7 linked regions of the Solanum lycopersicum genome follow. The protein of the gene in region 1 binds, or shares a complex with, the protein of each later gene. Links are inferred from orthologs where the notes say so. Each region holds a gene or a part of one and is shown in the gene's direction. Other genes may lie near its edges.

What was found.
Region 2: large ribosomal subunit protein uL4c (region 1) and 50S ribosomal protein L27 share a complex: the UniProt entries of both Arabidopsis thaliana proteins name them as parts of the 50S ribosomal subunit. The link is inferred for Solanum lycopersicum from reciprocal best matches to the Arabidopsis thaliana genes RPL4 and RPL27.
Region 3: large ribosomal subunit protein uL4c (region 1) and large ribosomal subunit protein uL24c share a complex: the UniProt entries of both Arabidopsis thaliana proteins name them as parts of the 50S ribosomal subunit. The link is inferred for Solanum lycopersicum from reciprocal best matches to the Arabidopsis thaliana genes RPL4 and RPL24.
Region 4: large ribosomal subunit protein uL4c (region 1) and large ribosomal subunit protein uL1c share a complex: the UniProt entries of both Arabidopsis thaliana proteins name them as parts of the 50S ribosomal subunit. The link is inferred for Solanum lycopersicum from reciprocal best matches to the Arabidopsis thaliana genes RPL4 and EMB3126.
Region 5: large ribosomal subunit protein uL4c (region 1) and large ribosomal subunit protein uL10c share a complex: the UniProt entries of both Arabidopsis thaliana proteins name them as parts of the 50S ribosomal subunit. The link is inferred for Solanum lycopersicum from reciprocal best matches to the Arabidopsis thaliana genes RPL4 and EMB3136.
Region 6: large ribosomal subunit protein uL4c (region 1) and large ribosomal subunit protein bL9c share a complex: the UniProt entries of both Arabidopsis thaliana proteins name them as parts of the 50S ribosomal subunit. The link is inferred for Solanum lycopersicum from reciprocal best matches to the Arabidopsis thaliana genes RPL4 and RPL9.
Region 7: large ribosomal subunit protein uL4c (region 1) and large ribosomal subunit protein uL5c share a complex: the UniProt entries of both Arabidopsis thaliana proteins name them as parts of the 50S ribosomal subunit. The link is inferred for Solanum lycopersicum from reciprocal best matches to the Arabidopsis thaliana genes RPL4 and AT4G01310.

The regions. Positions count from the first base shown.
Region 1 is NC_090806.1:67,227,051-67,231,563, forward strand, and holds large ribosomal subunit protein uL4c, read left to right. Parts: upstream 1-2,096; 5' UTR 2,097-2,587; coding exon 2,588-3,416; intron 3,417-3,489; coding exon 3,490-3,527; 3' UTR 3,528-3,716; downstream 3,717-4,513. UniProt on the Arabidopsis thaliana protein: This protein binds directly and specifically to 23S rRNA. May play a role in plastid transcriptional regulation.
Region 2 is NC_090810.1:58,850,157-58,855,031, reverse strand, and holds 50S ribosomal protein L27, read left to right. Parts: upstream 1-1,817; 5' UTR 1,818-1,864; intron 1,865-3,103; 5' UTR 3,104-3,110; coding exon 3,111-3,377; intron 3,378-4,057; coding exon 4,058-4,159; intron 4,160-4,230; coding exon 4,231-4,416; 3' UTR 4,417-4,639; downstream 4,640-4,875.
Region 3 is NC_090806.1:68,735,851-68,740,913, forward strand, and holds large ribosomal subunit protein uL24c, read left to right. Parts: upstream 1-1,864; 5' UTR 1,865-1,994; coding exon 1,995-2,087; intron 2,088-3,495; coding exon 3,496-3,534; intron 3,535-3,844; coding exon 3,845-4,075; intron 4,076-4,258; coding exon 4,259-4,465; 3' UTR 4,466-4,606; downstream 4,607-5,063. Other genes in the region: calcium/calmodulin-regulated receptor-like kinase, read left to right, coding at 138-341, 555-890. UniProt on the Arabidopsis thaliana protein: One of two assembly initiator proteins, it binds directly to the 5'-end of the 23S rRNA, where it nucleates assembly of the 50S subunit. Required for optimal plastid performance in terms of photosynthesis and growth.
Region 4 is NC_090800.1:78,435,999-78,439,432, forward strand, and holds the end of large ribosomal subunit protein uL1c, read left to right. Parts: intron 1-271; coding exon 272-399; intron 400-1,284; coding exon 1,285-1,368; intron 1,369-1,632; coding exon 1,633-1,758; intron 1,759-1,963; coding exon 1,964-2,098; 3' UTR 2,099-2,409; downstream 2,410-3,434. UniProt on the Arabidopsis thaliana protein: This protein binds directly to 23S ribosomal RNA.
Region 5 is NC_090803.1:3,525,793-3,529,275, forward strand, and holds large ribosomal subunit protein uL10c, read left to right. Parts: upstream 1-1,604; 5' UTR 1,605-1,708; coding exon 1,709-2,398; 3' UTR 2,399-2,537; downstream 2,538-3,483. UniProt on the Arabidopsis thaliana protein: This protein binds directly to 23S ribosomal RNA.
Region 6 is NC_090810.1:57,590,955-57,596,083, reverse strand, and holds the start of large ribosomal subunit protein bL9c, read left to right. Parts: upstream 1-1,754; 5' UTR 1,755-1,899; coding exon 1,900-2,037; intron 2,038-2,152; coding exon 2,153-2,280; intron 2,281-3,823; coding exon 3,824-3,869; intron 3,870-4,005; coding exon 4,006-4,103; intron 4,104-4,178; coding exon 4,179-4,226; intron 4,227-4,774; coding exon 4,775-4,895; 3' UTR 4,896-4,962; intron 4,963-5,129. UniProt on the Arabidopsis thaliana protein: Binds to the 23S rRNA.
Region 7 is NC_090808.1:1,642,476-1,646,746, forward strand, and holds large ribosomal subunit protein uL5c, read left to right. Parts: upstream 1-1,617; 5' UTR 1,618-1,786; coding exon 1,787-2,038; intron 2,039-2,466; coding exon 2,467-3,012; 3' UTR 3,013-3,212; downstream 3,213-4,271. UniProt on the Arabidopsis thaliana protein: Binds 5S rRNA, forms part of the central protuberance of the 50S subunit.

The DNA.
Region 1 (4,513 bases):
TTGATGGGGTACTTGGACATTATCCCTTAGATATATTATATATTAGACTGATCAAAATCACAGAATTACTCAATCTGCTTGGATTTATTTGTCAAAATTTGACTTGACACATTTATAAAGAAAACAATAAGTAGTATAGTGACTTTACCATTTTATCTCTATTAACCGAAGAGTCCCAAATATATTTACTCACTAATTTCAAAGATAATTAACTCAATGTAAATAAATTAAGTATATAATAAGAAGAAAAAAAATTGCACTTTCTCGATTTATCAAAAATGACAAGTAAAATAGAAAAAAATTGACAAGTAAAATGAAACGAATGAAACAGTAAAATGAGCAAATCATTAACTTGTTCGGAGTAAAAAAAAGATTATTCAAATTATATTTTAATGAGCTAATTTTATGGTTATCATATGCACCCCATGTGGTAGGATCAAGTTGTCTACTTTGATATGCCTATTTATAGGCCATTTTTTCTTGAGAGAATACATTGTCACTTGCTTTCTTTTTTTCCTCTAATTTTTTTTTTTTATCAATTAAAGCTAATCTTCTCCAAAAAAATCTTTCAATTTTTCAACTTCTCTTTTATCTCATATTCAACATGTCAATGGCCACATATTGTAATAATGAAAATCTTGCACTTAGCAATATTGAGAACGATGTTTTCATGTCATTTCTTGAAGAACCAGAATTTGAGGCAAGTGATGAAGAGTTATTAAGAAGTGTGATTGAGTCATTAGAAGTAGAGAATATTGTTCCTAGTGTTAATACAAATGATTCAATTTTGTTTGAGCAAATGAAAGTAGAGAATTCAACTAATTTGTCTTGTGATGATCTTGGTGAACTTGAATATTGTTGGATTGATTCAGACATGGATTCTTCAACTCCTAGTGATGATGATGATATGAATATTTGGTTCAAGGATTGTTACTATGATCAAAATGGAGTTGAAGATTTCACTAACTTTGTTGGTGCATGTAGGGAGTTTTCTTGGGAAGAATCTTGTGAATCTATGCTTTATGCGCCTGATGTCTGATATTCATATTGGAGCTCAACTAATCTGGATTCACATTAGTACTGAGGGATTCATTGTTTCCTCGTAAAGGTGACTTTGTACTTTGAAAGATTCAAATCTGAAATCTCTAATTAAGGATGAAGGAGTACTTATAGATAGTCATTGAGATAGGAGTATTGATTAAGACGTTTTTCATGGCAATTGTAAATCCCATATTAGTATAAATTCTTTTTACTAAAGACCTATGAACTTTCTGTTGCTTTTAATTCAATGTGGAATAAGCATAGCTTACCTAATTTTAGGATGTAAGCTGCAGAACCTATTTTTATGGTACATTTGAAATTATTAGTTCAAAATTTAATTGAGTTTGTTAAGTTTCAACATAAGTGGAACGAGGAGAAATTGATTTCTTTATATACTCTTGAACAATCATATCTCCTCGATTTATCTTTTGAATTGAGTTAAATCTAATATGGTATTGAAGTTACGTCCATCTCACTTCATTATCATTTAATATTAGGTCTCCATTTTATATTGCTTACATTCATGATATCTGACCATGAACGTGCAAAGGAGCGTTGAGTCTTAAATTGATTGATAAGCATAAATAATCTTGAACAATTATTTCCTCTTGAGCTAGCTACGATGTTACAGTTAGATTAGATTCAAGGTTTGTTTTCTTAACCGAATTCAACATACGAGTTGGGCTTAGCGTATCATGGAAAAATTGGAAAGGGAAGGCAATATGTAGCAGGCTGCATCAATAGCGCCTCAAAATAAAAGAAAATGAAGGTTTTGGGCTTATGATGGTGTAGCCCCAACTAACAAAAGACTTGATCAAGAAAATTGTATAACTTTTATATTATATCAAAATTAATAAAAATAAAGAGCACATTTCATAAAAATTTTATTTGTCGCTTACGCTCTAAAAAATTTATTTTTTTTCCTACACAAAAGAAGATTTAATTATGTTCTTAAAGTATTGTAAATTAAATAGACATGCCCTTCAACTCTTCGTCAATAGTTTGGCTTATATATGACCTTATCATTTTGAATGTGTTATTAGTCTAAATGAAACATTTGATTAACCTCATTTGTTGATTCATAAGTGAAAAAATTATCAAATATACTCTGACAACGATAAGCATAGAAAGAATAGAATATTTGTAGACCTTATCACTATCTCGTAAAGCTAGAGAGTCTGTTACGTCGTAAAGTTGAAGAGTTCATTGGCGCAAAAGGATCGGTCCTTCACTTGCTGATCGTTCGCAAGTCGAACTCGCTCTCTTGCCACGCCTTTCACTCACTCGCTTGAGACGGACTCAATCACTCTTTGAGTTTGGAGGATTCACTCTCTTGTTATTACCCGCAGGGAGCGCATGTTTCCGCAAATATGTCCCTAAATTTATCAAATATGTGCTCAATTTCAAATACTTTGAGGGTATATATGACTTTTCCATTTTCACTAAATTTATTTGAACAAAGAATATGAATACATTTTGATATCCTTCTTCCTCATTTGTGGATAACCCAATCCATAGGCTTGCAGTTTGCTCCTTCACTGCAAAAATGGCTACTTCTTCTTCTTTATCTTTCTTTTCTTCCACCATTTTCTTCTCTAACTCCAACACCCTTCACTCCTCAAAGCAGCAGCAGCAGAAACAACTCATTTTCAAACCCAAACAACAACAATTCTCCATCCGTTCAGAGGCCGCCGCCGCCACTATTCCAATTCTGTCCTTTGATGGTACCGAAGTGGGCTCCACCACTCTCAACTTAAAATCCGCCCCTCTTGATACCGCACGCGCCGTCGTTCATCGTGGGCTTACCACTGACCTGCGCAACCAACGTCGCGGTACTGCTTCCACCCTTACCCGAGCCCAAGTACGGGGTGGTGGTATCAAACCATACCCACAAAAGAAAACGGGTCGAGCTCGACGTGGGTCGAACCGAACTCCTTTACGACCAGGTGGTGGGGTTGTGTTTGGGCCGAAACCTAAGGATTGGTCAGTTAAGATTAACAAAAAGGAAAAGAGACTCGCGATTTCTACTGCGCTTTCGAGTGCTACACAGAATGCCATTGTTGTGGAAGAGTTTGATGATAAGTTTGAGAAACCGAAGACTAAGGAGTTCATTGATTTGATGAGAAGATGGGGATTGGACCCAAAAGAGAAATCTTTGTTTTTGATGACGGAAGTTTCAGACAATGTGATTCTCTCCAGCAGAAACATTAGCACATTGAAGATGTTGACACCCAGAACTTTGAATCTTTTCGACATATTGGATTCTGAGAAGCTGGTTTTCACTAAATCAGCTGTGGAGTTCTTGAATGAACGATACGGAAATGATGATGATGATGATGATGACTGGGAGGTGGTGGACGAGGAAGAAGAAGATGGTTAGTTTTTGCTTCATTTTGGGTATGAAGTTTCCTTTCAATTTTAGCTAACTCGTTAATTTGCTGCATTCAGGTGGCGAGGTGGAGGAGAGTGCTGAAAGTTCTGAGTAATATATGAACATGGGGCGAAAAGGGTCTGTTCCATTTTAGAGGAGGCTTTACCTTACAGGGAGCTTAGTATATTTCACTTTGAATTGTATTTTATTGTATGATAAAACTAGGTGATTTTGGTTGATTTCATGTCACTGACTGCATTTGTCCATTACCTTCGTTGGAATAGTTTACTCTTGATTTTCGTTCCGCTCTCATTACCACTTTGAGTTCTTGATTTTTATGATAAGAGTGATTAGTTACTTTACTAATTAAGTCTTGTGTTCTGGCAAAACTACATTAATTGCTTAGTAGATGAAGCTTTATATAAGATTTATGGGTTACAAGTTGTCAGCCAGGCGAGATTCAGCAAAGTAAAATGATTAGGAAAGCTTTGTGTTTGAGTCTTAGGCTTGAAGCAATTAAGCAAAGTTAAGAAAAGGAAACCTTTATTTGGGTGGAAAAAGCTTCATCACCTTTTTCTTTAATACAAACACAAAGTAATTGGCAGGAAAAAATGCTCTTTACTTTGTTTTGAGTCATTGGGGGCATATGGGATGCTAAGCATTATTAACCTTGAAACAGACCATATCTAGTAGACTATCTATGGAGGCAGATAACTTGGACATTTGTACTATCAAAATATGTGATGGAGAGTATATGAGTATCTCTAGGCTTTTACTAGAACTTTTGAGTTTAAGCGCTAATTGCTACTCTGCTTTTAGCCTCAAAATAGAAGGTTTGAGAATGAATCAATGGATTGCACAAACTATCTCATTGATCAATTTTACATATTTCAAAGCCAGGCTGTTTAAAAAGCAAAAGAAGAACAAGAAAAATGAAAAATTTACATTGTGGAGGGCTATGCTACACTGATGTCTGGAGAAAAGAAGTCAATGGTTTGTATAATGGCATTGAACTCATTTACTAGTCAAATATTTAACACGTGACGCTGAAACTTAGTTGTCTTAATTTTTCCATACATGATCTTTGGTGTAGTTTAAAAA
Region 2 (4,875 bases), on another chromosome or scaffold:
TTGAGAAAAAGCACACTATTAACTTTCGGCGATTAAGGGTCCCTTTGGTCGTGTTTTAAATTAATTTGATTATTAATTAATTTAATGAAAAATCAATTTGATTTAAAATTAAAAATATAAATAATTAGTTAACTTTTAATATGATTATTTCGTAAGGTATAAATAATTTATTTACACAGTGAGTATATAGTGTATTTATTTATTTATAAAATATTCATTTATGAATTAAGTTTTTTTTTAAATTGAAGTTGAAGTTTTGTTCAAAATAATTTTTAGAGAAAAACTATGATAAATTTAATTAGTATTTTATGCATATTTGTATTGAGTCTGATTAAAATTCAATTTCGTATATTGTATAAATCATTTTTGAAAGTCAATATTTGTAATTAAAATAATCATTCACAAAGGATTGTATTTGCAATCTCTAACTAAAAATGGTGAAATTCTGAATTATTTTAATTTTCCATCACAATCTTTATCGGTATTTTACTATTACATGTTAAAACCATTGATGTATTTGCACATATAGATTATATAGCATGATGTTGGATTTAATTATTTTATTGTATTAATTTTATATATTGAAATTTAGATATATTTAAAATGTTCACCTAATATTATTTTTTAACCAATAAATATATTTATTCTTTGAAAGAATTAGGTTCATGGCATTTATATTCTCCACTTGTTCTTGTCCTATAAAAGTAAATAAATTAAACAATCTATTTTACTTTAAATATTCTTCTTTTAAATCCTTTAATTTACCAACACAACTTTTGACTCGAGCAATCAATTCCACTAACTAGTTCAAGAAGCATAATATGAGCAATTTTCAAGAATAATGTGGCATTATTGTAGGTCGGCGTGTTAAATAATCGGGTTGAATTAAAATTTAAAATATTAAAATGAGTTCAAATAAAATTTAAGTCGAATCATAACCTCTTCAAATTATGTTAGGCTCAAATAGGATAAACATTGGATTGGATCATGACCTGTGCGATTTGACATGTTTAATCTCAATAATTTAAACATATTGTTATTTTCCTTTAATAACTATTATTTGAATTTTAATTCAATAAAAACAGTTATAAAATTGATATATAAATCATAAAAAATATAAAATAGATTCTAATTTATGCATTCAATATGAGAACATAAATTACACCAATACAAAAAATACTCTTAAAACATGTTGAAATTAGAGATTACATTGGACACAATTAAAAATTATTTTAAAATGGGCTAAAACGTAAATAAGTTGAGATTGATCCAATTCAAAATATCTAGAGCTCCCGCCTATAAAATTTTAAATGAGTTAGACGAGTTATATATATTTAGGCTCATTTTGACATTCTTAACCGTACTTGTATGGAGGTATGCAAAAAAAAATTATTCTTATACTTTTTATCGAAAAATCATATTATATATGCCCGTAAGTAGGAGTATGAAATTTTCTCGATAAAAATTAAATTAAAAATTTTTAAATATGATTTCATTTTTTGAAAATACTTTTCGCAGAATATCAATTTGAGATTAAAAAACGTTTTCAAAAATATAAAAACAATCACTTGGATTTTAGTTTCGAAGAAAAGATATCTGAAAAAACATTTTATTTTACTAATTAAAATCATATTATTCCCCTTTACAAGTTCGATAAAAATATTTACAACTTCAATATTTATAAGCAAAATTAATTTATGTCCATAACTTATGTTCGATAAACGAAACCATTAAACTTAACCCGAAAACAAGCTAAAAAAAGCCCAATTCAAAACGGGTCAAGTATATTATAAAAAGGATGGCTGACATTTCTCTTATCTTTTTATCTCGAAGATTTTGCCATTGTGGCTCCATAATCCCCTCGGTGAGTTCATCTCTTTTCCCCTCTTCTGTAAATTCAATGTTTTTTTCTTGTACTATGTTTAATTGGGTGTTCGAAAATGTATTTAATTTTAGCTGACTCGCAAATCTTGGTTTACTATTCTCTCCATTTCAATTTGTTTGTGTGGTTCGACTTTGGCAAATAATATAAGAAAGTAAAGATTTTTTTTTAATCAAGTGGGGTTGAAGTAAAACTAATGTTATGTCGAATGTATCAAAATGTTGTTTAATGTGAAAAGTTAGAATTGAAGAGTTGCTATTGGAAATTGAAATGGAGGGGGTTAGTATTTATGCTTCACTAGGATTTGAACTTGAGACGTTATGGTTATCAATCTACTTTATTGACCGCTACTAATATTTTAGGTGGACTGCAATCTTGATGAACATACTAGTGTTTATTTTGTTGTTGATACTGGTTTCCTTTGATTCCTCTTTGTTTTGTGGTTTAAAGACTTGTCCTTTATGATTAAATATGGTTCTTTTATGACCAATTGCTTGCGTAAGGACTTATTTGCGGAATATTTTGTGGTGTAGAGTTTGCGAAATGCGTTTGTGGTGGAGGGGGGTTGATGTTTGGTGTAATTTTGAAAAGAAAAACAATGAGTGGAAGTAATGTGTATTGAAATGCAAGAGATATATAATGGAGTAAAGATAGTTGTAATGAGGACTTAAGGTACTTCTATTGTTAGGAGTGTGTGTTTTGTATTTTTTTTGAAGATTGATAATAAGCTCAGCAAATTGGTTTTATATTTTGATAAAGCTGAGTATTAAGAAATGACAATATTATCTAAACAGTGGTTGGAGCGAGCGATAAGGAGAAAGAGCTGAAATCGTAGTAAAAGGAAATGACTTATCTCATAAGTGAGAGTAGTTATTTCCCCCTTTTGATGGAAAACTTTTTTTCTTAGGAAATATGTTTAGGACCATTTTTATCACTCTTCTACTGTTTTAGTCATACCGAGCAGTGTTAAAGTCAGAGTCAAACCTTCTGTAGACTTACTATCAAAAATATATTTCTCCAATTTGTGTTCGCGATGATCCGGGGAAATTTTAGATTGGCGATTAAGATCCTTGGTAGTTGTTATGGTAATAGTTTTGTCCTCTTAGTAGTTCTATGCTCATATTTTTCCCATTGTTAAATATCACTTCCTTTCCTTTAGGCCTCTCATCTCTGATAGTAAGTACCACGAGAGGCTACTGAATTTCTTTGTTTTCTTTGCAGCGTATAAATGGCAGTGAGTTTGAGTCTTGTTTCCTCATTCAAAGGACTCTCCTTATCTTCCAATTCTCTCCTTGGGGTTTCTCTTCCCATTGCCCCTAAGTTCTCCGTTTCCTTCCCGTTGAAATCTCCATTGACAATTGAGTCTGCACACAAGAAAGGAGCTGGTAGCACTAAGAATGGTCGAGATTCTCCTGGACAGAGGCTTGGTGTCAAGATTTATGGTGACCAAGTCGCCAAGCCCGGTTCTATAATCGTTCGCCAGCGCGGTACAAAGGTTTCAATTTTACTTCTTCTGGATCTCCTCTCTCTTTTTTATTTTTGCCTAAAACTCGTATTTGCTGTGGAAGTTCTGATAGTTCTTTTGATTAATTAATAGTGCTTGAAATGAATTCGGATGAACCCACCCAAGTAGAGTGTAATTCCAGTTTTTTTGCTCAATACCTCACAAACATACTAGGTCCTGGCATCTTGTCAATAACTCTGCTCCATTCGTCTGGCTTTCTTCGTTTGGTTTGTATATTATTTGTTAGAAATATGTGGATTGTCTAGAGGGCGTTAGATTGAGTACAAAACAAGGTACTAGAGGGATACATATCTTGTCATTTGAAGTAACAGATTGCTATAAGGTTTAAGGTTTTGAGCTCGTGTCGTGAAGACATAGTTGGAAGTTCTCTTTAAGAAATGCACATTTGTTATAATCCGACTTGAGTTTTTTTTCTTTGCCGAAAGTGTCAGTTTCTGACAGTATGATGCTATGAGTAGATGTCGTCTTCTATCAGTTAGATAGTAAAAGGGTTTATGCCAGAGGTTGGTATTAGTTTTACTTTTTTTCGGCTCTGATATGATCCTGTTATCGTCTGTTTGTTTGCTCTAAGAGTAGTTCAAAAGTTGCATTCTCCGTTTAGCATTGCCATATATTCTGTTCCCTAATCGTTCTCGTGGTGATATTTCCAGTTCCACCCAGGAAAGAATGTTGGACTTGGCAAAGATCACACAATATTTTCTTTGATTGATGGACTAGTCAAATTTGAAAAGTTTGGACCTGACAGGAAAAAGGTTGAGTTCTTTAGCTTACTGCTTGTAGATATGTGGTACACGAGTGTTATTAACGTATACTGACTGTGCAGATAAGTGTTTATCCACGCGAGGTGCAACCTGAAAACCCCAACAGCTATAGAAACCGAAAGAGAGAGTCCTTCAGATTACAACGTGAACGTAGAAAGGCACGAAGAGAAGGTGTCATCCCTGAGCCTCAGTTGATAGTTGCTTCTGCTGCTGAATCCTCTGAAGATAATCCCATCACCACTTGCTGATAATGGTCTTTCGATTTTTCAAACATTCTGTTGTCGTTTTGGTTATTGCTAGTAGCTACTTGGGAACACATTTGCAGGCACATTTTCTAAACTGTGTTTCTGCCATTGTTGTCTTTTTTTGTTTGTAAATTGTGTTACTGAAAGCATGAGTCTTTGTCACAGTTTGTATGAGTACAGAATGAAATGTATGATTCAGAAGATGCAGCTTTGCACAATAGCACAACCAAAAGAGTTTTGAGTTTTCATTCGGTTTAAGTGTTCAGTTGGTAAAATCACAACTAAAATAATCCAATTTCAGAGACCTTCCACGTTATTCCGCCGCAGAAGCTAGTAGTAAGAGAAATCTTCTAATTTTAAGGAAATTTGAAGATTTTATCAGCAAATTTATGATCAAATTTAAACTGTTTAACAACCGTTTCATATAAATTAGGAGGATGAGAGTATATTTAAAAGAATAAT
Region 3 (5,063 bases), about 1.5 Mb from region 1:
GATAATAATGAAATGGCACATTTTGAGGCGGTCACACTGAAGATTTTGACCATTCTGAGTTTATCATAATGAAAATGTCGACACCATTTTGAGCTAATGGTATTAAGCATAACTGCAATCTTGGGTTTAATACACAGGTTGCTGATTTCGGGCTGTCAAGGGAAGAAATGGTCAGTAAACATGCATCCAACATCCGTGGAACATTCGGATATCTTGATCCTGAATATATATCAACTAGGTCCTTCACTAAGAAAAGTGATGTTTACAGCTTTGGGGTTTTACTATTCGAACTTATTGCTGGTAAAAATCCTCTTCAGGGGCTTATCGAGTATATTGAACTAGTAAGATCTCTCTCTCTTTCTCATTATGTGATGTGAAACTTCTTTTTTTTGTGGCACATGTAGAGAGCACTGATCTCGAGTAACTTTCAGAACCCCTCCACTCCCCCCCCCCCCCCCCCCCCCTCTTCCCCTACAACCTCTTTTATTGTGCATATGTTTCTGAAGCCTATTCAGTCATATAGAAACTAAGCTCCATAGGATTGATGATTGTAGGCAGCCATGACTACAGATGGAAAAGGCGGATGGGAGGAAATCGCAGATTCCCGTCTTGATGGGAAGTATGATCTGCAAGAACTTAATGATGTAGCAGCACTTGCATACAAATGTGTGAATCGTGCTGCCAAGAAACGGCCTTCCATGAGGGACACTGTGCAGGTTCTGTCAAGGATACTCAAGTCTAGACACGAAAGAAAACGCCAGAAGCGATCTTTATCTGCAACAGCAGAGGAGATTACCATCAATGTTGAACAAGTAGATCATCGGAATCCAATCTCTGGACATCGACGTGTTGAATCTATAGATAGCACAGCTGACTCGTATGAAGTTTAACTCAGTTCTTCCATTTGTTTATTTTTTTGTTTCATCTTGTAAAATTGGTCAGGTTGTTAGGTTTCTTATTTACAAAAACACACTTTTGTCTTGGTGAGTTCGTTTGGGATACTTAGGGGTATGTTATAGTCTGAGTGTATGATAGCCTTTGTTCCCAATTTTGTTCTAAGTTTTTGTAAATTTGCGTGGAAGGTTAATGAATGGTAGAAAACGGGGAAAATCCCAGATCAGGCTTTTCCACTTCTTCTACATTAGTATCCTATTCAATCTAATTTTATTAAAAAAGAACCAAGCTTTTTTTATTTTTTAATCCCCCGATACTTTTTTTCAATATATTTATTTGTTCAATTCGTCTTTTATATGTTTTGTCAACCTATAAAACATTAAAACTTGATCATTTTTCCCTTCTTAAATTAGGGCAAATTGATACTTTACAAATTTATAATTACAAAAAATCTTCAAAACGGATACAATAATACAAGCGTTGATACATTAATCTAATGCGCGAGATGCAATAATTTAATGTATGAGATACACTAATCTGATGCGTGAGGTACATTTTATATATGATACACTAATCTGATGCGCGAGGTACATTTTATACATGATACACTAATCTGATGCGCGAGGTACATGATACACTAATCTGATGCGCGAGATATACTAATCTGGTGCGCGAGGTACATTTTATACATGATACACTATATGATGCTCGAGATACATTAATCTAATGTGCGAGATACATTTTTATACATGATACACTAATCTGATGCGCGGGATACAATAATATGATTCGCGATAGAAATTGATGTGATGCATGAAAATTGTGAAATTTTAGAAATTTGTAAAACTTATAAGGGATAATGATAATAATTAAACTAAAAGGTGAGATTTTCGTAATTAATCCACAATCCCGAAATAGCTGAAAAGGGACTTTATAATTGGGCCGTACTCGACCCGTTGAAGGTCCAATTAAGTTGGATCGGGTGTCCAGGGATAGAGAGAGAAGAAGACGAAGGTTCTGGTTTTTATTATCCTATCCAAATACTCAGCTCAGTGTTGTTTCTTCCTTCAACAAAAGGATTTTGCAGAAGGTTTTGAACAATGGCGGCTCTGCAGAGCTCCTTTACTGGTCTCTCCATCTCCTCCACCTCCTTCTTCGGCCAACGCTTCTCTCCTCCTCTCTCCCTTCCTCTGGTATGCTTTCTCATAACTTCAACTATCTGGTTTTCAAACTGAACTATCTCAAATGTTAATTGTTTTGTTTCTACAACTGTATCATTCGGTCCAGCTTGCTCACAACTCGACTAATTACGTAGAATACCTGCTACCTCTAGCCAGAATTGAATTGTGTTGCAAGTAACTTTCTCCATCCAGTCTTACATAAATGCGAAGAAATAAACTAGTGTATTGTGATTTGAACCAATAAATCGTAGTTGTTCACCACTGCATTGACCACTAGGCTATATCCTATCTGTTTATCTCAATTTCAATTGTCTTTGTGAAAGGTCTTTGTTTGAATAATTTGATTTCTATGTATTAGGGATCATAGGAACAAAGGTATCCATTTCCATTGTACTATTGATTATAAATTAATTTTATATTATTTGATTACAATATATTGTGAACTTTTTCTCTGCTTGGTCACCATTGCTACCTGAGTCCTTTCTCATATCATATGTTTTTTCGCTATTATAAGTTTTGACTGCGTGTTTGGTACGAAGGAAAATGTTTACCTAGAAAACAAATGTGGAACTTACTAATTTTCTAGTGTTTATATGGTAACTAAGCTAGATAATATTATTCCAAGAGCATTTATATGTTATATATCCAACAAAATACTATGGAGGCGAGATGGGATGGGGAGTGGGGATTCGGGGATGGACGGACGTGATATGGTCAAGAAGTGGGAGTTGGAGGGATTGGGTGATGATAACTTGAAATGCTACTTATCCATCTTGTTTTTCTTACTTCCACTACGGAAGTCATTTTCTTTATTTTGAACTTGAACTTGTTTTCCTAAAGAAAATATTTTCGTAACACAGGAAAGTTGGAACTACATACCAAACACAGTGTATTTCTAGCTGCAAGAGAATAATTTTATATATAAAGACATCTACAATTTGATACAGTAGTTCCTCAAAAGTTCTTCAAAAAGTCAAGTATATTAAGAATATGCTAATTGGTTAACTTAAACTTACCCCCTCTGTTGTGATTGATGTCTTCCAAGTTCTAACATAGGATGAACCCTGTATTTGACTTAAGGTTCGAAATTTTAATATTTGGACATATTTATCAATTTTTTAATACATATATAGGGTCTGAGTTAAAGCTACTGGGTGCTGCTGAACCCATATTATACATATGCCTCTGTGTTCCTCGATAATAAATCGTTCTCATATTATAGTTACCTGTATAATCAGAAGTTATTGGAAGCAAATATGGAATAAGATCTGTCTCCAGAAAATGCACTTGCTTGTTATTCGGTTAACACTTTTTGGATGTATATCACGCCTTACGCAGTTTGTCACTTTTTATTGTGTCAACTGTAAAACTGGATAATCTTTTGCCACTTTAATGACAATCTCCATATAATGCCGTGCAGGTTAAATCAGCAGAAGGTCCATGTTTGATTACAGCAAAGGTTGGTATCTTGATCCATTTTGGTCCTTTAGTATATTGTCCGAGATAGACATTTCCGGCAACTACTTTTATAGGGTTGCTGTTAATGTGGTCATGCATTTCTTTTATAACTTATGATGTAATGAAGGAAGTGCTCGAACTAACTTGTCAACAGCTTTTAAAAATGGCCACCAAATGTTTGTATTGCTAAACCTTTGGTACTAATTTTTATGGGTATGATATTCTTTTAGCTGAAACAACAGTTAATGAGAATTGTGATTAGAATTAGCTTTATCATTGAATAAGAGCTTCTTTTTATGTCTATTTTGCAGCTTAAGCGATGGGAGCGTAAAGAATGTAAGCCAAACAGCCTTCCAGTACTACACAAAATGCATGTAAGGCTGGGTGATACTGTAAAGGTAATCTCCGGCCATGACAAAGGTAAAATTGGAGAGATTACCGAGATCATCAAGCACAACAGCAAAATAGTAGTAAAAGAGGTGAACTTGAAAACCAAGCATGTGAAGAGTCGGAGTGAGGAGGAACCAGGCCAGATAGTCAAGGTTTTATCTCGATTTCTTTCTTCTCTATCTTGCCTAAAAATTGTTATCTTGAGATTTCATTTCGTCGTGGCTAGCATCGAATTCATCTTTGCCCTAACAAGAAAGTAAAACTTTGTGTTAAGATTTTAGATTGAACTTCCCCAAGTTGTTTGGATTGAGACGTAGTTGTTGTTATTGTTTCAGATTGAAGCTCCTATTCACAGCTCAAACGTGATGCTTTATTCAAAAGAGCAGAAGGTAGCCAGTCGGGTTGGTCACAAAACTTTAGACAATGGAAAAAGAGTCCGGTACCTCATTAAAACTGGGGAAATCATCGATAGTGCAGAGAACTGGAAGAAAGCAGTCAAAGAGAAGGGGAAAACAACAGAAGCAGTAGCTGCTGCTTCCTAGGAGATCCACTGGTCTGTAAATTCTAGTTCGATTTTGCTAATTTTGAATCTTCTCTCATTGATATATTATGATTCTGTTGTCACCTTCACCTTTTTAACTCAGTAACATAAGATTTTATATTAAAGTACATTTACTCAAAAATTCTGTTTGCCAGTACTATTACGTACTAGAGTTTGATGGTTAATGGGTCGAATACAATGATCTTTATGTGCTTTATGATTCGAGTTCTTGTCCATTTATCGATGATTCTTTCAACTGTTTCAAGAATGTATGTATGTATGTCATGATACAGATTATCTCATGCTTAGATAGATGCAAACATGGCTTGAAGGATCGAAACTATACGTTTTTACTTACTGAAACTGGAATATATCTATAATACAGGGGCCAAAGTCGCTATCCACAGGAACAGTCTAAATCAGCATTAATGAAATGCCTACTGAAATATTCCCCAATTACACTTATATTCAGTTTTCTGAACACAAAAATAGACAAGGGTCCTTTCAATCAAAATCAGATGCATATACATACTTAATGAGTTGGCATTTCCATGTAACATTTATTAACAGATAGCTACTGTTCGAAACCAAGACAGCAA
Region 4 (3,434 bases), on another chromosome or scaffold:
CTTTTTTTAACGCACCCCAAAGAAAAAGGAGTAACTTTCAGAATTGTTTTTTTTTTCTTAAAAAAAAAGATCAGACATATGAATCTTCCTTTTTAGTGTGATTGTTAGTCTAGTTTTTGTAACCCTAGATTGAATGCAATATGCTAGGATCTTTTTTATATTTGGGATGTGGTCACAATTGCAGTTTTGAATGTTTTGGTCTTGAAATTTTTCTTTGGAACTGTAATCACTATTTCGGCACGCTAATTGTGTTGCAGCTAAAATTCTACAGGTGAAAAGTTCGATGAAGCGAAAAATGCAGGAGCTGATATAGTGGGTGGGGAGGATTTGATAGAACAGATAAAGGGAGGATTTATGGAGTTTGACAAATTGATTGCAACACCAGATATGATGCCTAAGGTGTTTCTACAGTCTTTGCTATTAAAAATGTCTGACTTGCCTTTGATGTTCAATTTGATCTCCTTTTTCATTTTTTATACTGTCTTCGACAACCAGCCTATGAACTTCTGTCTCTTGGTTTTAAGAATCTCATATTGAAGTTTGCACAAGGCAAAGAGCGACTGTCTGTCTCAAATAATTCAGCATATCTCGCTCCCAAAGTTTTTGTGCATGCGTTTGGGCCTTGTCAACCTGGATATATAACTTAACAATGCGTAGCTTGTTCTGAACCAACTCACTTGACCTGGTGAAAAGCTCTAGCTGTTGTATCTTTTCTTCTGAAAATACTTCACAACTAAAATAATGATTTGGTTGAATAAAACATATTTTGTTAAATTCTATCATTCCCTTCGGAGTCTTTCTCTGTCATTCCATGTTCATTTGTTCATATATTTTGCTAGGTTGGTGCTCTTAAAATTCCTTGACCTCAAAATCTGGCTAGTCAGCATCTGCATATTTTCTAGCAAGCCTTCTTTCTGAAAAAGTTAAATCATAAAATTCTGTTGTAACATTGTGCATGAGTTTTACATTCTTCATGTGCCATATCTTGGAACAGCTTCTGCATTGTATATTTGTGAATTATGGTCCATCTTACTTTATCATAAATCTAATGCTGCAGGACTGATGGCAATATTAAGCCTAACTTAAGCTGAGTGATTAATCGCAGAGGCTCCTCTCCCCGTCTTACCATTTTAATGCTCACTGACAGCTGATTCAAAAAATTGAACCTTTTTAAGTGACTTGTCTAGAAATTAGTTTTATTAACACCTGAACAAGTATCTGTGGCTCATTTTACGTAATTTTTTTGTGAATTCATATTGATACATTCTCTACTATTTGCGGCAGGTTGCTAGCTTAGGTAGGGTCCTTGGTCCTAGAGGACTCATGCCAAACCCAAAAGCTGGTACTGTCACTACAAATATACCTCAGGTAACGTGTCAAATATTTTCTTCTTGTGAAAAAGTTGAATCAAAATACTCTCTTTCTTATGTTCTATGTGCAATGGTGGAATCCCTAGATCTTTATATTAAATGGGAAGCCACACCATATATATCCTAGCTTGGAAGTTATTCAGAGTTAACAAAATGTGAAACAATGTAGTTAATGAGTAGGCAGTGATGATTCACTTAATGGACTATTTTCTTGCTCCTTGAAAATGTTTTCAAGTATGTAAACTTGTTGTACTTCCTCCAGGCTATCGAAGAATTCAAAAAGGGTAAAGTAGAATACCGAGCAGATAAAACTGGAATTGTTCACTTGCCATTTGGAAAAGCAAATTTCTCGGAAGAAGATCTTATCATAAACTTCATTGCAGCAGTGGTAAGTTTTATCGTTAGCTCCTATTTCTTATACTTTTGTTCCAGAATAGTTTGAATATACCAACAACAACATACCGAGTAAAATTCTAAAAAGTGGGGTCTGGGGAGGGTAGAATGTATACAGACCTTACAACTACCTCATGGAGGTAGAGAGGCTGGTAGAAGCCATTGTAAATTAATTCAACTGCATTTCTTTGAATGAACAGAAATCGGTGGAAGCAAACAAACCATCAGGTGCTAAAGGAGTTTATTGGAAGAGTGCACATGTATGCTCGTCGATGGGGCCATCCATTCGGTTAAACGTAAGGGAGATGCTGGAGTACAAGCTTCCGAATGCTTAATTGAGCGAGACATGTATATTGTATCTTCTATCATCTACCTAAGTTTCTTCGGCGCCTTATCAGAGCTTCCATTTTATGAGAGTTAGGATACAAAGTAGGTGGAGTTTGAAAGGAGATCCAAACTTCATATTGTCAATATCAGTGTGGAAGCATTCATAGGCACAGTTGCTAAGAGAATAATTTTGTTTGATATTGTCAATGTTTATGTTCAGTTTAATTCTTACTAGGTGCTAATGTACATTATGCTTCGATTTGCTAAAAGGGGAGCTAATTCAATTTTCAGAAGTTTTATATGCTGCAAGATTCTCTAATTTGTGTTCATCTCTTGAGATTCTGCCAACAACTGATTGAGCTGAATAAACCTATCAGTTTTTAGTATTTTTCTTTACTTTACCACTGTGGAAAAGGGTCATACGCATGTACCCATGGGGTGGTAGTTAATTTTTTAGGATAATTTTTGTCCTTCATCACTTGCGATAACAAAAAAGTCGTCTGAAAATACTCTTAACATCGAAAATAAATAAATAAAATAAAAAACCACAAGACAATTTTATTTTTTCGTATCTAATCTAAACAATTTATGTCTCTTATTCCTAAAGAACGAAGCATAAAAGTTCAATTCATAATGCCTTATTATAAAACATAAACTTAGTTCTGGCATAACTCATGAGTTATGACTTATAAGACATAACTTAGTTTCTATGGAACTTATGTTTATCGAGAAATGTGTTCAGTCTTAAAACCCACAAAATCATGCCTCAACAGACTTAACTTATTTCTACAAGACAAAATGTTCTCTAAACTTACGCCTTACGAATGATAACATACAACTTATGTCAAATAAAACAACAAAAATCTCTAAGATTAGGTCATAACTAAAGACACTCTGATCCATAGACATGTACAAAAAGTTAAAAGATTACTAATTTAAGGATAAAAATTAAAGATCATCAATTCGTGAGAAAAAGTCAAAGACTATTTTTTGGTCCATATGAGACAATAAATCCCAATCACATAATCAACCCAATTTAGAGCCACACAGTTGGTGAGGTCTCTCCCTTCCAGTTTGTAATTGGAGGCCTATCATTCTCTTTCCTTTTCCAACTTTTAATGAAGAAAATAGAAAATAGAAAATAATCTGATGCAATTGTGATTAAATTATCTTTATCAAAAGAATTTGAAGGCAAAACACTATGATTTTGGGGAATATTTTATAAAGAAAATGACTGGACAATTTGTAATTATATTCATGTGTTTGCATAATGCAATTATGAAGTATTATTGAGAATGTGGTAGCTTTTCCATAATTGTTAAAAAGGGAAATAATTTAACAAGA
Region 5 (3,483 bases), on another chromosome or scaffold:
TGGTGTGATCGTGTCTTTACTTAAATTCTATTGTATGGTTTTTTTTATAAGGATAAAAAACTCATTTTATGTAATGATTGATTTGGTGTGGTTACGTATTTGCTTATTATTAATAGTTTTATTTTAATAGTTACTCTACTTTTTTCGTAGTAATTACAATTTTTTTATAGATTTATCATTCCGATTATGAATATGTGATATTATGTAATAACGAAAAACAATATAATCCAGTATTTTTGAAAACGTATTTGGGGCGAGTCTCAGGACGAGTCTCGGGAAGGGGCGTATCAAAAACACTTCGAGGTGTAAATTAAAGACGTAGATCCATTAGGCATAGGCATTAGCCCCAAGCATAAAAAAGTAAATCTTAGACGTAAAAACGTTCGCCCTTAATTATTTTATTTTTTTCTTCAAATCATATTCATGATATTTCTCAAAAAGTAATTATAGATTATTTTTTTTGTTCATTACCGATTATTAATACTTATCTCAAATAAAAATCATAAATCATTGAAAGATTTACTTTTGCTTATTTTATTAATAATTAAACTAAAAATTGAATATACATGTGATTATGCCCCTTAAAACTATGAGACTTACGTCTTGTGTCTCAGGACATACGCCTCACCATATACTATGTAAAAGATTTCACCTCACGCTCTGTCTTTACTATACAGATACAATCTATTCAAATATTATATTTATTAAAATAATATAATATAATATAATTGAAGCAAAGTCTAGGACCTGAGCAGAGAAAATAACAAAAATATCACTTGTGATTTTGATTACATTCAGAAATAATTTTTGAATATTCTTGACTCTTTAAATTTATTTTAAGCCAGCATTTTTAATTGATAAACTTGTAGATACAGATATACATACTTGAAAAAGGATTGACGAGGTGTAGAAGGAATAATATTGAATATGGTGAATTTTAGTAGTAAATAATTTAATTATTATTAATATTTGTATGAGTTATATTTGATAGGAGTATTATTTTATATTTAATATTTGATTTGACGTAAAGAAAATAATCTGTATTACATCAATTTTGAACAAAATTCTTTATTTATATAAGTATCTTTCACAAATATAGTAAAATGATGTTAAAAGAGTTTTGAAGAGCAATAGTGATTTTATTATGCTAATGCATGAATATTTTTTTTTACTAATATCCACATAATTCCATATCTTATATACACCTTAATGCCAAATACATCATATAATATTTGCATTGATTATACTTAATGCGACTCTACTATGAAATTCAAACAAAATTAATAAAATATTTTAATATAGAAGAAAAATTGATATGATTATTATATTATTTTTTTAAAAAAAAATTAATAAAGCATCTGAAAATAATGATAATATATATTTAAAATAACTGATCGAATCATAATTAATATCTTTAAATATAAGATAAAATAATTTTACATTTTATGAAATTATTATCTTTTATATATCATATCAAATCATCTCAAGAATTTTGTTAATAATAATAATAAAAATATATCTAACATAATTTTATAAATTAAAGACGATAAAATATATGTAAATATTACACCTATTTTGCCTTTTTTAACTTCTTTAATGGTTTGTTTGGTATGACATAAATATTTTCAAAAACATAAAGTTTATGAAATACCCCTAAATTCTATCTTAGCACAAAAGATAAGGCAATCCAATTCTCAAGCTATCATCAATGGAGGCTGCTCTCTTCAGCTTACCTTCCTCTTCCTCTCACTCTTACCCATTTTCCGTGAAATCCCACTTCAACAATCCCTTCATAATCCCCCATTCCAGTTCTCACCTCAAACTCAAACCCAGAACTCTAACTATTCGTTCAGCCATTAGCAGAACCAAGAAAGAAGAAACAGTCGAAACAGTGAAGCAACAGCTTGAAGATTGTTATCTCTTAGCTGGAATCAGTTACAAGGGGTTAACAGTTAAGCAATTTCAAGATCTTAGGGCTCAACTCCCAGAAACAACAAAGCTTCTTGTTGCTAAGAACACATTGGTACTTAAAGCAATTGAAGGGACAAAATGGGAAGCATTGAAACCATGTATGAAGGGAATGAATGCTTGGTTATTTGTTCATAGTGAAGAAATCCCAGCTGCTTTGAAACCTTATAGGACTTTTCTAAGGGAGAAGAAATTGGAAGATAATGATTTTACTGGTGGGGTTTTTGAAGGGAAGTTTTATGGGCCTGATGAGTTTAAGGTGCTTGAGAATTTGCCTACAAGAGCTGAGATTTATTCACAGCTTCTTGGGTCTTTGAAAGGACCTGCTTCAGCTGTTGTTGGGACTATTCAAGCTCCAGCAAGGAATTTGGTTATGGTTCTTAAGGCTTATGTAAAGAAATTGGAGGAGGAAGAAGGTGGAAGTCAATAATTTTTGTTGTAATTCTTGGATATGGTAAGCTAATACTATTGTCTATTTGGATCAATATTTGAAATTTTTCTGAGAGATGGAATTTTGTAAATTTTATGTTTTTGGTAGAATGAATTTATCCTTGGCCAATTGTTCTAAATTTGTGTCCTCGTATTTGGCGGATAATTATCTGGATTACTTCATAACTGTTTGAGAGGATTTATGTTATGTGAAATGTACTATTCTGCTCTTTCCATTATCACTGAACCAAGAAAATAGTCTGTATTCCTGCTTCAGCTCACTATATTTGTCAAATATTAAAAGGGCAGCTCGGTGCACTAAGATCTTGCTATTTGCTGAGTTTGGGCTTTGGTAGTAGTCTGGAGGAAGTGTGTAGCTTTATTCTTGCAGTTTCTTGCTATTGTTATATGTTGATCGCACTATATTGTTGACGTTATTGTTTCTTGCATGTATCCTCTGCAGTGCTTTCCTATTACTAGTTCTCATGTTTTCCTTATTGTCGTTTTCCCTTTTTGTTAGTACTTTCATTTACTTCACTTGAACTGAGGGTCTTTTGGAAACAACCTTTGTACCTCCACTAGGTAGAGGTAGGGTTTGCGTACACTCTACCTTCCCCAGACTCCACTTTTTGGGATTTCTCTGGGTGTGTTGTTGTTGTTGGGAAATGCCGGACCACGTTGCATCTATTGTTAGCTACTTTAGTTTGCATTTCTGCAAAAGGTTGTTTCTGTGCTTAAACCATGACCTCTTGGTGAATTGGGCAGCAACTTTTGCGATTGTACCAAACTCTCCTCTTCCTATGTAGTAAAATAGGGTAGAATATATAAAAAGAAAAGAAACAGCAGCATCAATCCTACCTCTTATAGGACGCATCTTCCACTTTGTAAGTGAAAGGGCTGAATACTCTGGCTTTGTCACTCAGTCCTTTATCTCCTCTTTTCCCCTTCCAGCATTCCAAGACTTACTTTAGTTTTGCATGGCTATAATCTGGTGGATGACTTCTCTTTAGAAATAAATTTAGTGCCTTTTGTTTAGGGAAAGGATGGACTAGTTGTTATGGTCGGTGAATAAAATTATTTTAGAAC
Region 6 (5,129 bases), on another chromosome or scaffold:
CGCCACCCCTCGCCTTTATCACTTATACAAACAGAAGCGAAATGTATAAATTGCGTTTCCGTTTGTATAAAACGTGAGAAAATTGTATATACACATTTCTTCCTATACACTTATAATTATACAATAAAAATACTTTCCTGCCCGGTTTCTTTTGCCTTTCTCTCTTTCTCGTTTTATAAATTTTCAAATTGTATCTAATTTCTCTCTTTCTCATTTTATACAATTCGATTCAATTGTATATTTCTTGTCAAGTCTCTTTTGTGTTTCTCTCTTTCTCATTTTATACAAATTCAAATTGTATATAATCGTTCTACACACTTATAATAATACAATTCGTTTTATACACTTCGTTTTTATACAGTTCTCTGCCCAAGTATCTTTCTCTTTCTTGTTTTATACACTTCGTTTTATACAACTTGTTTCAACTGTATATGTATAGCGAATTATACAGTTTCTATGTTTGCTATAGGAAGCAAATATACAAAATTTGTTATAGCATATAAATATGAATTTTTTATTTGCCATATGTGAAAGTTGCCCTTATTTATATGTGTAAATACAAAACAATAATGTATGAGAGACAGAAAGAGTACGCTTTTACAAGTATGACTTTGATGAAAAAAATATGGCTAAGTGAATGTAAAATACTCTCCCTCCGGATTTAGATGACAAACTTTTTTTTAGTCAATTCTAAAAGAACGATACATTTCTTTATTTGATAAATAGTTAATGACACTGTCAATATTTTGTAGATGACTGGATCCCACTTATTCGACAAAACGTCTACAAAGTTGTGTTCTTTCTAAGGATAGTTTTGAGATATACAAAGTATTTTCATATTTTTTAAACTTCGTGTCCAATGTCCACTACTTAGTCAAGCAACACCACATGAATTGAGACGGATGGAGTATTATGTTGGGCTGTTTTTTTTGGATAAATTTTAGAAATCACATAATTTTAATATGAAATTATAATTCATCCCTCTTTAGTTTGTAATTTCATTAATCCCTTAAAAAGTAACACAAATCGGATACATTTATATGTAACTCGAATACATTAAAGAGTATCTTAGATGCATTATAGCATAAATCGGATGCATAATATGTAGTTCAGATACATTAAAAACTAGATCGGGTACATTATAAAATAAATCGCATACATAATATGTAACTCGGATACATTAAATACTAGCTCGGATACATTAATATGTAGCTCGGATACATTAAAGAAATAATGGATTTTAGAGGTCTTTAGAAATAAAAGGGGATATATGAAAATAAGGAAAATATAAGACGTGTATTTCAGTAAGGGTAAATGATAGAAATCTCACTTTTAAGTTCTCTTACTATTATTATCCCCTATTAGTTTTACAAATCTCCAAAATCCCTCATTTTCACACATCAAATTAACGTATCAGCACATCAAATTAATGTATCTCGCACATCAAATTAATATATATCACGCATCAGATTAATGTATATCGCGCATCAGATTAATGTATCTTGTATAAAGTGTACATCAGATTAGTGTATTATGTATAAATGTAATGTATCGTACTTAATGATTAATGTATCTCACACATCAGATTAATGTATCAAATGATACAATAATATATTATTGTATCATTTGAGAAATTTTTGTAATTATATACTTGTAAAAAACAAATGGTAATTTTGCCTTAAAAGTATGTGATTTCTGTCCTTCGCCCAAATAGCCTAAAATATTATAATTGGACTAAGAAATGGGCTTTACATGAATTGTCCCAATAAGTTTTGTTGGCCCATTAAGACATCCATTATCTTCTTCAGTTCGCCATTACAGATAAGATAACGCTATAAACTGTAAAAAATACAGAAAAACGGAGCAAAAAGTGAAGAAAAGAAGAAGGAAGACTTAGCTATGGCGTCATGGGGTTCATCTTCTTGTCTCCAAAATTACAGCTTAACCAAAAACCCATTTTCCGAAACAGTGAAATTTTCAGAAAGAACTTCAATTTTAACAATTGTTGCTCAGAAAAAAGCCAAGAAAGTTCGAAAGGTGAGCTAATTCTTGAAAATGTGATAATGGGTTGGATTTATAATTGTCAAAATCTCATTTTTTGTCCATTTATGGTTAATAGCTGAATTGGGTATTTTTTGTTTTGATGGAACAGATAATACTGAAAGAGGATATTTCACAGTTGGGTAAAAAGGGAGACCTTTTGGATGTTAAAGCTGGATTCTTTAGGAATTATTTGCTACCATTGGGCAAAGCTCAAATTGTGACAGCTGCACTTATCAAGTAACTCGTTTAACTCTACTTTGAACTAGATTTTTGCCATTTGATTTCATTGCCTTTTAGGTTCTTCTTTCATTAGCTGTACTTTTGTGGAGTTCGCGGTTGTTTGGTAGCTTGGTAGAGTTACGCAGGTATCAGTTATTTCGTCTTGTAACCTGCATAAGATAATACATTATATATTAGTTAGGTAGGTTTTTGAATTACAAATTAAACTTTGTGTTGATTTTATACATGAATAACTTATTCTCTAACTAACTGCCAAACATTGTATTACTTATACATTAAGTTAATATATGAGTAAGTTGCTTTTTTACTAGCTACAAAACACCCCCTTAATGTTTGTTAAAATTGGTTCTGCTTGTGTTGGATGGATTTTTAAGTATTCCTTTTGGAGACTGTTAGTTGATTTTAAGTGTTGAATATTCACATTTCCAATCACCCTGTATAGTTTAACGGCATAATCCACAGTGTGTCATGGACACCTGATGTTGATGTGGCAAATATATTTGGTTGGTGCCTAGATGATCATTTTGTAAGTTGGAGTGTTCAACTGACACAGTGGAGATGAGTTGAGGTGTAGATGTGCATACTCAAAGTTGGAGTGTTTTCTTGCTAGTTGATGCCGAGTTTGAGTGTTTTCTTGCTAGTTGATGCCGAGTTCAAGTGTCTGTTTCTGCATTATGACTAGTTAAATTATCGACTTAACCTTATTATTGAACTCAAGACTTTGGTTCTTCTGTTCGTTATCTTATTTTCATGCCTCATAATTAATGTCAGGATTCTTTGGTTCAACTATTTAAAATGCCACACACAATACTTTGCTTGGCTGTTGATGAGTGGAAGTATGTTATTACTATTGCTTGTTTTGTTTTATCTTTTATCTAAACCAATGGACCTATGTCGAATGGAGATAAAATAGGTATACTTAGTCTATGGGATCCTTTAAACTAATTGTAACTAGCTGAAAAGTGGACGGACCCATGGATTATACATATCTTCGTGCAAAGGTCGTACCAGAATAATCATTTTCGATACTCCTTGAGCAGAAACTCTGTATGGCTTTGGTGTTATAACTCTTGGTCAGTACACAAACTCTGTATGGCTTTTGTTCCCTGAAATAGTGCTTCGTATGATTAATGATTATAGGTTTAAGTAAATTCGCTTCTTTTAACCAAATATAATTTATTGATAACGGATTCGTCTTCAATACAATGTCCCACAATGCATAAGATGGATAATGGTTGGATATAAAACTTTAGATTTCCTACTACTTAGTGACTTTGTCTTTAGCTTTTGGGTGAGCAATAGGCCTAACCAGCTGTTAACATTAATGGTGTGATAGTCCTGTAAAAGTCTTATATATAAGGGATTTGCTATTTCATACTAAAGAACAAAACAAATAGGTGAAGGCTTCGTTAGAGATGGTTGTTAGAAGCAATTTTGGTTTGATATTTTTGATAGCTATTAGCGTGCTTCGCCATCAGTGAGAATTAACTAACTTCATGGATGCATTTTTATTTTATAACATTATGTACTTTTTACTCAGGGAAATGAAGATGGAAGACGAGAAAATTGAGGCTGAAAAACAACGGGTAATTAGATTATTCTGATTAATCTAATCTATTGAAAGTTGAAAAATATATACATTTTTTTTTTATTTTCAAGTCACTAAAAGTCTAAAAGAGTTTCATAATGAATGTGGTTTTAGTTAAACGTTTTTGATTTCAGGTGAAAGATGAGGCACAACAGCTTGCTCGAATTTTTGAAACTATTGGAGCCTTCAAGGTGAAGCGTAAGGGTGGGAAAGGAAAGCAAATATTTGGAAGGTCAGTGAAATACTAAATTGTGATGAGCAACTTGGTGAATATTTGATCTACCTTTTGACGTCATCTCTCTTGCAGTGTCACTGCTCAGGATCTCGTTGATATTATAAAAGCACAGATACAGAGGTACCATTTTCCAATCTTTCTGCCATAGCATGTAAATAGTAGTATGCGAACTAATTACTACTATATGTTCATTGAAGACTGTTAAAGTATATTGTCCTTCATAAGGTTGATCCTGTAATATGAATTTGCATGAACTTGAAAACTGATGTTCTCTGATTCATCTGGTTTATTAAGTAATTCAAATATTTTTCATGCAGTGCTTATTTTCTTGTGTGATTCCTTCTGTGCGATGTTACTTACTCGTTAACATCAGTCATCGAGAACAGTGGAGTATACTGATTCCATTTTCCGTCTATTGCTAGAGCAAAAACTGTTTTTTTGAAGCAATGTGATGTCTGTTTCTTGATCACATAGTAGCTTTCTACTACCCCTCTGTCCCCGAAAAAAGAAAGAGTAGAAAGGATTGAAAATCTGTTATCTACTTTTAATAGGAAGAAAAGTGAGGGGTGGGTGGGGATGAAAAAATTGTCGTATAAAGTCTTGAAGGAAATCAGATGTACTAACTGATTTCCTACTTTATTGTATATTCACACGCAATCTACTTGTAGGGACGTGGACAAGAAAATTGTCAATCTGCCTGAGATTCGAGAAACCGGAGAATATGTTGCCGAATTGAAGCTGCATCCAGAAGTTACAGCTAGAGTAAGGTTGACAGTGTATGCCAATTGAGATTAGGGGCTTTTTGGTGCAGTTGATGCCAAGTCAGGATTTTGCTGTATCGGCTCGCTGGGCCAAGGTACCATCTTTTGTTGATTCCAGTGACTATTATTCAAGCAAAGTGAATGGCTTTGGTGCTACATTAAATGTACATTAATCAAACCTTACATTTACAGAACACCTACATAGCCCAAAGTTTTAGGCTTTTAGTTCACAAAGTTAAGTTGCCAAAGTAATGACAAATAT
Region 7 (4,271 bases), on another chromosome or scaffold:
TGAGCAATCAAATATGTATGAAAAAAAACTTTAAGAATAAAATAGTAATTTCAAAGCCGTGATCGGGAATTAGTAAACTCAAATTAATTCAGATTCATATTAAAAAAATTCAGATAATGTAAAACACTTTTTATATATCAAAAGAAATTATATTCTATAACTCTGAATTTAAAATTTCTGATAAAAATATATTCGTACTTTCTACTCTACCACAACTTTTGAGGTTCCAATCCCATTCGATGTGAAATTCTTTTATTTTCACCTTTATTCAAGGTAAACTCATCCAAAATAAATAAATTATAAACGAAGTTCAAATAATCTAAGTAAATACAAGTATAGAAGAAATGAGCGAAATTAGGCTATAAATGTAAACAAAGACATGCCAGTGAAGAAACTGGCTAAATAATAAAGATTAGGTTTATTTAATGAAATGGGCCACTACGACGTTAAATTTTCAAAAAATTATCCAGCCCACAAACCAATTTAGACTTGGGCCTACCTCATTCCAGTCTAATAGACCCCAATATTTTCTTGGTAAAAATTTTTGTTGGGCCAATAAAATTTGATATAGTAAATTTCATATATAACAAATACAAAATTTATATTTGTATGATATAGCAAAGTTTGTATACTTGCGCTCGGTGACAAATATAAATATGCATAATTCCCTATATACATATACAAAGAAAGCAGTTGTATAATTCACTATACATATACAAAAGAAAGCAGTTGTATACAAAAGATAAATTGTATAATCTGCCATTTGTGTATGTATAAAACGAGAAAAAGAGAAAGACAAAAGAAAACTGAGCAGGAGAATATTTGTTTTGTATAATTACAAGTGTATAGGACGAAGATATATGTATTTACATGTGTATATACAATTTTCTCTCGCTTTATACAAACAGAAATGCAATTTATACATTTCGTTTCTGTTTGAATAAGCGAGAGAGGCGAGGGAGATTCGGGAGAGTGGTGAGTGAGATTTGAGATAGGTGAACAAAACTATATGTATCTATACAATTTTCTCTCACTTTATACAAACGCAAACACATTTTATACAATTGTGTTTGTATAAAAAACGAGAGAGGTGAGTGAGACTGTCACAAAACGAGAGTGGCGAGCGAGATTCCACCAGGGAGAGTGGCGGAAATAGCAATAGTTTGCTATAGGGTACAATTAAATCAAAGTATATTTATAACATTTAATTTAAATTAACAGTTTGCTATTATATACAATTTTCCTGATTTGATACGATCTTCATTCAATAATTTTTAGCCCAAAACTTAAGCTAACATTTAACCATAAATTTCATCATATGTTTGGCTTAATTTTTGGAAACATATTTCACTTTTTTTAAGAAATGTATACTAATAAGTTTTAAAAGTTATCAAAACTAACTATAAGTTTGTATTGCATAACAAAATAGAATAAAAAGATTCACTATCGTAACAATTAGTGTCCATGTCACTGAAGCAATATGGTAATTCAGAGATAGTGCAACAAGCATCATTGCATACATTATGAAGTAGACGAAACATATTGTTCGTCACTTTTATCAATAATCATATCGTCATTTTCTTATTTACTGAATATTACATCATTATTTTGATGTTCACGTAAAAAATTTTACTTGAAAAATCTATGGCGAAATGGATCCGAATTTTTTTTACTTAAACATTCACAAATTAAAATTTAGTAGAGAGAACTCTGTTATATCCACAAAGAACATCTTATCCAATTACCCTTTTATTTTTCACACACAGAGAGAAAAAGCTCAGAGAAAATGGCGGCTTCTCCTCTTCTTCTACACTCCACGGCCTCCTCTTTCTACAATGCTGAGTTTCCGGCGTACTCCGTTCGATTGCCGGTCGGAAATACCAAGGTCCGGTCGTCCAATAAATTGACGGTGAAAGCTTCAGCAACAGTACTAGTGGATAAAAGTGAAGCTGAAAAAGTTAATCGTCTGAAAACAAATTACCTCGAAAAGATTGTGCCGTTGTTGAAGGAAGAATTCAGTTACACCAATATTCTTCAGGTAAACTTAGGAGTCGTTTGTCCATTGCATTTTTTTTCCAGAACAGATAAAAATTAGGGCTTGGGAAAGGGAAAATGGGGGAATTGAACAAATTTTTCAGTTTTTAAAAAAGCTTAGTGCAGGTTCAAACACAAATTCAATTTTCAATTATACTTTTCAAGTTAATTTCAATTTCAAAGCATATGTACTTCTTTAGCTTCAAATTTTACAACTTATATCTACAAATTTGAACTGTTTCTTGTTTGTTTGATTAAATGTTGAATTTTAGAGTTGAAATGCTGAGAAATTAGTTTGTTTGACACTATTATCATTTGAGGAGTGAGAAATCACAGTGAATATTAGTTGCATTGACCTATTGCTTCAAACTCTATTATTATTTTTTAGTTTTAATTTGATTTGATACGGAATGTGGAAAAACCGTGTTTTAGGTTCCGAAGGTCGAAAAGATTGTGGTAAATTGTGGTATAGGAGATGCTGCACAAAATTCCAAGGGTTTGGATGCAGCAATGAATGATTTGGCCTTAATTACAGGGCAAAGGCCTGTGAAGACTAGGGCTAAGAATGCTATTGCTACTTTCAAAATTAGAGAAGGTCAACCGCTTGGAATTGCTGTTACACTTCGAGGGAATGTAATGTATTCGTTCCTTGACCGGTTAATTAATTTGGGGCTTCCTCGAACGAGGGACTTTCAAGGCGTAAACCCCAATAGCTTTGATGGTCATGGAAATTATAGCATTGGCTTTCGTGAACAGAGTGTCTTCCCAGAGTTAAGTTATGATGCTCTTGGTAAGCCAAGAGGGATGGATGTTTGCATAACAACAACAGCTGAGACAGATAAAGAGGCACACAGATTGTTGGCTCTCATGGGTATGCCATTTAGAGAAGGTTCTGGTGGACAGACAACTTTTACGAAAAAGAAAAAGCTTAGAGCTCACCATTTTGACTCGAAGGCGAAGCAAAGGTCTAGGAGATGAGGTGGATCCAATCTCCAGGGATAATGAGTTGATTTGTTGTTTTTTAACTGTTTTGTGGTTTATCAGTTGTTTTTGGCGTACAATTTGAATAGAAAAATCTGTAATTGCACTTTTACCATCTGGCTGGTGATGTCTCGAATATATGTTATTTACGTTTTCTTCCTCTAAAAAAAAAAAAATAAGAATTGTTTTTATCTCTAGTTAAGTTTTTACTATTCATGAATCTTGATTACTGTAATTTGTATGTTATTAAATATTTCCTACCCGCTCCCTTTTCTCGTCTGCCATTTACTTTGATTTCAGGCAAAGAGTTTCTCTTGTTAGCTCCACCATATTCACATTTAGGTGAGTTAACATCTCTGCTTTTATCTTTTATCGTATGTGATAAGGAGTATTTGCGGGCGATATCTTATTTACGTTTTCTAAATTTGTCCTAATGCTTAACACTTGATGTGTGTGAGGCTGTGGAGTCCCATACTTATTTCTACTCCCTGATCCCCCACCTTTCTCCTTTCTTCCTCTAAGGTTTATTTATATTCGCATATTAGAAAGTCACAGTTATTTATAGTATATACCATGTTGCTGAATCTTTATTCCCTTGGCTTCATTTTATTCTGCTCAAATTGTACAGAGTTTTTTCTTTCAAAGTGTGTATGAATGTGCTTTTTAGTGGTTTCAGGTTCTATGTCATTTGATTTGGTTTTAACCTGTTCTTGTAATGCTGCATTCTGATTTTGCTAGATCTCCATACTGGTACTCCAAGATAGATATCTAAGCCTATTCTTTGGTTGTTTGCCGCCCCTTAAAAAAGGAAAAAAGAAACTCAAAAGGGAAGCTGTTGTTATTTCTATCAAATTGAAATCATTCCTGCCACTTATGTTATTGTGAACACAGCCAGAAGATTCTGGGAGAAATTAAAGTAAAAGAACCTACTTTCATAGGGTACTTGTGTTGGTTTGGGTCAATAAAAACCTTGTTCTTGACGAGTTAGACTACAGAAAGTTGATGAAATCGAGGATGTGTTATATCCTTTAGATCGATGAAGAATTTAATGGTGGTGCTCATTTTTTGAGTGTATAATGTGTCTGGTAAAATATCCTTAGAGAATTGTTACATGTTAAAATATATTATCTAACTAATTCTGGTTAATTTTGCGTAGCTGTCTTTTACTATTCTTCATTTATCTTTAGAAGTTTAGCATTTAAAATTTCTCCATTTGAATTTATGCTAACAAGCCATGAAGCTGAGATGAATATCCT